Linked DNA regions of Daphnia pulex. The protein of the gene in region 1 interacts with the protein of each later gene in a biochemical or structural test. Links are inferred from orthologs where the notes say so. Each region holds a gene or a part of one and is shown on either strand. Other genes may lie near its edges. The genes, in order: mutS protein homolog 4-like and mutS protein homolog 5-like.

Region 1 (3,829 bases):
GTAACGACAGAGAAATTGGATTCATTTTAGACGGTAGTTTCCGAAGCGGTTGCGGTCGCTAGGATCACAATAGCCAACTATCAAAAAAGGGAAGCAAAAAAACAAATCTGAACAGCGCACACAAAGTTGGTTCACTTGACAACAACACGATCCAGCTCGGGCGAAAGAAAGAGGAGTAAAACAAAATGCGGTGGTCTAATGAAACAATGGAAACTTTTCATCATGAGAGCCTCGGCTTCCAGTCCCCGTCAACTACTTGTTTATTCCAACCGGGCTGAACAACATTGTCTTGTATTTACTATACACATATTTCGTGTCGCGTGACTGAGCAAAATGGCATTTCTTTGTTTATGTGTTTTCTGCTTTTGGCTTTTTTTTTTGTTTTTAGTTTTCACAACTCTTTTGATGTGGTTGTTTATCTTTTGTATATTGGTCTGTGTGTGTCACCTCCGCTTGTGTGTTCTCGTTTTAGATTCGGAAACGGCCAACCGTCTGGAAGTGGTGAACAGTTTGAATCCAACGGGCGGGCCGTCTCTACTTTCGGCGTTGAATTCGTGCCAAACGGCGGCTGGTAAGCGGCTACTCCGCTCGAATTTACTGGAACCCATGACGGATGTGGAGGCCATCCGTCTACGTCTGGATGCCGTCGAGGAGCTTGCGTCACGTCCTACCGACCTCCATCAACCCATCAAGGTACGAAAACATAGTCACCAACTTATCAACCATTAAAAACAAACAAATAAAAGAGAAAAGATTAACAGGACCGGGTAGCAGGGGGGGATGGTGGGCGTAAAGCATTGCGTGCGTCAGCTTACCGATTGGATTCCTGGGGCCGGCCATCCTCGATTCCTCTTGTCTCTATTCTCACCCAAAACAAATCGAATTATTACCAGCCACCAGACAGATTCCCCGACTGTTACAGCCGCCGCGGCCGGCGGCCTAACCGACAGAACGGGGAATTGAGCGAAAGGCGGGCGCGGGATGAACGACGAGAAATAGATTGGTTCCATAGTCCCGGGATTGGCTTCTCTCTTTTCTTCATTGGCTCTTCCAGACCCGAAATGGAAACTTTCCTTTTCCTGCCCCATGTTATATAATATATATTAAGAATTACAAGATATATATGTGAGGAGGTCTAAGCTCCTTTGTCACGCGCTAAGCTGATGAGATTCCAATTAATTGTTTCCCTTTTTTTCTTTCTTTCTTTCTCTTTATCTCTTACCTTCTGGTTATTATCTTTTCCTTTTCTTCTTGCCTTTTTCTCTATTATTATTATTCTCTCGGATTCAATTATTTTTCTCATTGATTCGGACCCGAAAAGGCTACGTGAGATTTGGTTATTATAATTTTTCTTTTTGGTTTTGTTGTTGTAGGAGATTCTGTCCCGTTTCGTCGATGTTGAACGAGCCGTCAACCAGTGCGTCGTCATGCCCAAGAATCCTAGTCCGTCGTTCGTCGAGCAAAGGATCAACGCCGTCGTGGCCCTCAAGCACATCCTCTCTCTAGTGTCACCACTTGGATCCGCCCTGGCTAAAGCCAACAGCCCATTGATTGTCGCCTTGGCCAAAGTAACAACCGCTCCCATTTATTTCCGTAGCCCCCCCGAACAAAGTTTGTTTTTCAATTTTAAAAAAAGAACCGGAATATTTTTGGATAAAATATTGTCCTTGTTGTAGTGGCCGTTGGTCCGTGAAGAGGATCAATTCTATCACACTTCCATCACCGGAGAATCCAATATAAAAGTTTATAGGTACAGGGAGTAGATGGGTAAGAAGAAAAGAGATTCTCGTTTCCCTCTGGATGACGGTGTGACGGAGCGAAAGAGAGTTGTAGGCCCTCGGGAGCTCGACACGGGCTAGTTGTCCCGTTGATTGATTTCATCCTATATATGTGGGGTGTGTGTGTGTGTACCTGTTCCGAAACTTTACTGTCTGCAGGGCGTGTGGGTGTGGCTGGTTAGGCGTAAAAGACTCGCCAAGCGCAAAATAAAAAAAGAAGTCAAAGGTGGAACGTCGGTTGCCAAGAGACGACTCCGCCACTACTCGACCTTAAGAGTAGTCTGACAATAACACGGCAAATCACTTTTCAAATTTGGAAGAGAGTCTGGTTAGGAAGAAACTTTTTCTCTCTCGCTCATAAAGGACGGACCCCGTAACCTTTTTTCTCTTTCGTTCATTTTTTTTTGGCGTCCACATCTGCCCCATGTTCTCATTAGTGTCACAATCTCCGGGCCATTTCTTATTCTCTATGTGGAATTCGAAAGTAAAAGTTCATCATTCCCCCCCCCCCCCTAGTTTTTACGATGGGGAAATATTCACTTTTTCCAAAATCGCTATAGCCATGAAAAATCACCGAAAGTTGAAATTCCTTTTTCCTTTTTTGTTCTCCGCCGGAAGCAATTCCTTTTCAGTCCATCGGGTCGTATTATTATTTCCTATTGCCAAGCGTTTGTTCGTCAAATGCTTGAAATTCCATTATTGATCCGAGTAGTCGACAGGCGTCCTGCACAACAGATGAAATCATGAAATCCTTGTGCCTTGTGCGCGCGTATTCCTCCTTCGCAATTTCACTCGGGCCATATTACATTGAAAGGAGAAAGATAAGAGCATCAAGTCAGAACTGAATGGAGAGAGACATGTCCAAGTTGATTCTAAGGAGCTTTCACCCTCCCCCGTCTACTAGAGTTCTATGTGCAGTCCCGTCACCCAGCCCTTCTCCGTGATGATGGAACTTTGTATGTTGTAGGACATTGCATTATCTAGTCGACTGTCCGGACAATGCGGATTTCACCAAATGAAATTCCGGGGGATTTCATTTTCCAAAGGCTTCCATTTTCGAGTTGGTCCTTTTGTCGTTGTTTGACTTGTTGGTTGTCTGCAAGTGCGGAGATCTTTCGTGCTTTGATTTATTTTTCTCCTTTCTTTTTCTGCAATAATAAGGAGCTGTCCAGCATTGATGATGAGGCGCTGCTGTCGTGCATTCAAAACGTGTTGGACGAGCGAGTGAAACCTGTCAAAGGCAAAATAGGCATGCAACGCCAGCGATTCCGCAGCGTCAAAACTGGCGTCGATCTCATGTTGGACGTTTGTCGGCGGACTCACAGCGATCTCGAAACAGAGATGGAAGGCAAGTTCAAGTTTCATCCAACGCTCACACACACTGAATAATCAAACGGTGTGTCAAATGATTCATATAGTTCACGCGAACTTGAAAGTGAATACCATATAAATTTTCAATTCTCGGTAAAAGCCGGGAGTCGATTACAATCCGGAAGAGCTGCTAGACTGCCACCATTTCTCTCTTGTCGCGTGTACAGTACGTGAGCAACTTTTGTTTTCATCCTTTTGCCGTTTGCAGAGTACGTGGAGGAGCTGTCACAAAAGTACCAAATGCCGCTGACTTTGGCCAACACGGCACAGCGCGGCTATCACTTGCAACAGACGCTGGGCCAGCCGAGGAAGAAGGGAGAAACCAACTACCAACCTCCGCCACCTCCGCAACTGCCGCCCGTCTTTGTCTGCGTAAGTTTTCACTTGATTTTTCTATTATTTGCTCTCAAACAAATGCCGCCCAGCACCTAGTCGGATGAAAGAGAAAAATGGCAAAACAAAATGTGTTGATGGGAGCTGCTGCTGCAGAAAAGCGGGGACTTTTCGGTCGTCGTTGTTGGGCGTAGTGAAGCGCTAAAAAGTTTTGACGACTCTCGGACGGAATATAACTGCCGCCGGTTATTCGCGTTTCTCCGGCAGCACCTCGTTCGTTTCGAACCTTATGCCCCTGTTTGTCATTTTACGTCTACCACACGGTGGGAATGGGCCATTGGACCGAC
Region 2 (3,126 bases), on another chromosome or scaffold:
TCAATAGTGGTTGGCAACAAGTGTGACTTACCCACTCGTGCTGTTGATATGGCCTCAGCAAGGGAAGCTGCAAAAAATTATGGAATACCTTTTGTTGAGACATCTGCCAAGACTCGCATGGGTGTAGATGATGCATTCTACACTTTAGTAAGAGAGATACGCAAAGATGTAAGTTTTTACTTTCTACTATTATTAAATAGTATTATTATTTGTGAATAATGTTTAAAACATGTTCATTTGATTAAAAACAAGTGAAGTATGTATGGAATAATAATTGTTGTGGTGTTTTTTTTTTATTTTTTGTTTTTTTTTTTGTTTTTAGAAGGAACGCCGAGGCCGAGACAAACAGAAAAAGCCAGGCGGCAAGCTCCGTCCTTTGAAATGTCATATTCTGTAATCGTCGGTGTGATTAGGAAAGTACCATGGTTCAAAAACTTATTTACACGCAACTTCTAGTTGTGTTTTCTGATTGTCGAGCTATACGCCATATTCTATGGCCGAATGCAATTGGATTGGATGTTTGAAAATATTCTACAAGTAAAATTTTCTACTCGTAGCTAAGCAGATGGTACTGAACAGGCCTTTTGATTGAATGGCTTGGGAGGGGATGTATTTTTTTGTTCACAAGGGTAATGGTAATTAGACCGCGAATATAAGATGTATTTGTCAATTCTTTCAGCGTAGTATGTGCGTAAGTGTGGCTTGTGTCGTTTTACCTGTTTGTAATATTTTGGTACGTTCACAAGTTTTATCAATCACGGTTTCTTAATGATGTAGCAATTCTTACTGCCCTATTTGCCGTGGACTGCAATTGAAAGCATATCACGGACTTGAATTTGGACGTTTTCAGAAAACTTCATTTTCGAACATTATTTTTAAATGGTCTTGCGATAGACATGTAATAGCGAATACACATTCATGATCGTCAAGCTGAGATTTGAAAGTGGTGTGTATCGTTTCTGGCTTAGTAGTTAATATTAAATAATTCTTGCAGCATTAATGGAATTTTTAGTTCATTTTGAGGATGAAATTTGTTCTTGTTCTTGGTAACATATAGTTTACAGTTTACACATGTATCACTTCAAAAATGAAAATTGGTAACGCAATCACTTATAGATTTTATGACAAAATAATTGTTAGTTATTCGGAACGGAACTCCAACATCCAAGAATATTTCGTCTTGTAAACTGCTTTAAATCGTCAACATTCCAAGGATCAGTTGCGAAGAAAGACTCTGAAATTCTGCGTAAAGTTGAGCATTTTGCATCATTCCATATTAGGTTATTGGGTGTCATATTACCAACACTGTCAACTGCTTTCAGCATCTAGAAATATTCACGAAAAAACATAAAAATGGTCATATTTTCTTGTTAAAAAAACATAACTAACCTCTTGAGCTCGCTTTATGACAAAATTAGGCAATCCGGAAGCATACGCGACACTTAAAGGAAAACTATTTGTGCACATATCTTCAATAAGCTGATACAGGAAAACGAGTTGCTCTTCATCAAGAAAATAACCCATGGACAAGAACCGAGTATTTTGGAGAACCCATGTATGCCGGGACAAATACTCCACGGCATTGTGTAAGTGCGTAGCGACAAGCAGAAGAGGGCTTTTATCATTTTGTTTCATCCAGTGTTCCATGCACGAAATGAACATTGCAGAACCATCTACATGAGAAGATCCGATTCCAAATTCGTCTAATATGACAAGAGAATGACTCGTCGCCATTCTTGATGCCATTGACATCTGTAAAAATATATTTTTTTTAAATGTGCGATTAAAAAACATTATATAAAAAAATTAATTTGTTAGTCTACCTACCATTGAGAGTTCGACACCAAAATGCGATAAAGATGTCACTACAGTTTCAGGAGAATGGCTAACAACAAAGATATGTTTCAGCGGTGTTATTAGTGCACGTTGAGCTGGCACAAAACATCCAATTTGGGCCAAATAAACAATCAGGGCAGTTTGCTAATACAAAATTATTTTATTTAAAAAAATAATGAATAAATAAAACAAAAATAAGAATTAAACTAGTGAATTTAAATTTCAAACTACCTTCAAAAATATTGATTTGCCACTTGAATTAGGGCCTGAAATAATATTGATACGTTTGGCTCCTTCGTCACATCCTCCAAGGTATGTTGAATTAGGATTGAAGCGTTCGGCTACGAGTTGTAGCAAAATATGTCGTCCATTCTCAATATGAACACAAGGATTAACATTTTCAACTAGTTCTGGCTGAACCATTTCGAATTCGGAGCTCAGAACTGATAAGCTAAGAAGCCTGAATAAATGCAGTATACAATTAATATAACAGATTTGCATGAATTTGTATACAACAATACGCGTCTAGGTATGCCGCCAATTCGATTCCTTCAGTCAGTGCACCGTAATGTTCAACAACAACTTTGGAGCCTGACAGCATCACGGACATTTCATGCGCAACAATTGTCGCAGCAAAATCTCCAAACGTTTCGTCGAGTTCTATTAATTGTTGATTAAAAGTAACCATTATACAAATAGGCGCACCATATAGAATACCTCACCATAACAACGTCGGCTTTTGAAATAAACGTTCTCCTTTGTAAAGAACTAAATAAAACAGTTACTTTAAAGAAACCTCTCAATTCAAATAAGCAACACATCTTACTTTCAGTTCAAGTCCTGGTATGTTAACATCATTTTCAGCCGTCGTCAAATTTCTATTTGGATCTTTTTGGAGCCACGAACGAAGGCACAAACAATGTCCTACATGTGGGAAAAATTCAATAACGCCTTGTTCAATAAAAGGCGGTAGGTTTTCCATTTCGAGATTAACGGTTTCAGTGTAAATGCGTTGCATATTGCTGTGTTCCCGTTTCACTAATTAAATTGGGGAAAAATATAACAATTATTCAACTTATGAGATTACTTGATTGTTATTTAAAAAAGGTTACGCCGATCAAGGTCTTCATCCACTCCAGAGTTAACAACACATCGTCCGGCACGTTTCGATTCTTGGAAATTAATTAATCGATGAATGACGTTAACCACGTGATACCACTTACTCGATCTTTCGCTTTCAGCTAAATTGTAAAAAAGGCGAATATGTTGGGGAAGAATTTTGCATTTATC

Evidence for each region.
Region 2: the proteins of mutS protein homolog 4-like (region 1) and mutS protein homolog 5-like form a complex in vitro, tested with the Homo sapiens proteins (2 studies listed by BioGRID). The link is inferred for Daphnia pulex from reciprocal best matches to the Homo sapiens genes MSH4 and MSH5.

Annotation. Positions count from the first base shown.
Region 1 is NC_060021.1:11,182,436-11,186,264, forward strand, and holds part of mutS protein homolog 4-like, read left to right. Parts: intron 1-472; coding exon 473-693; intron 694-1,373; coding exon 1,374-1,568; intron 1,569-2,939; coding exon 2,940-3,126; intron 3,127-3,357; coding exon 3,358-3,521; intron 3,522-3,829. UniProt on the Homo sapiens protein: Involved in meiotic recombination. Required for reciprocal recombination and proper segregation of homologous chromosomes at meiosis.
Region 2 is NC_060019.1:5,055,369-5,058,494, forward strand, and holds the end of mutS protein homolog 5-like, read right to left. Parts: coding exon 2,949-3,126; intron 2,875-2,948; coding exon 2,663-2,874; intron 2,605-2,662; coding exon 2,559-2,604; intron 2,497-2,558; coding exon 2,358-2,496; intron 2,297-2,357; coding exon 2,068-2,296; intron 1,981-2,067; coding exon 1,828-1,980; intron 1,753-1,827; coding exon 1,390-1,752; intron 1,326-1,389; coding exon 1,137-1,325; 3' UTR 630-1,136; downstream 1-629. Other genes in the region: GTPase HRas, read left to right, coding at 8-168, 323-397.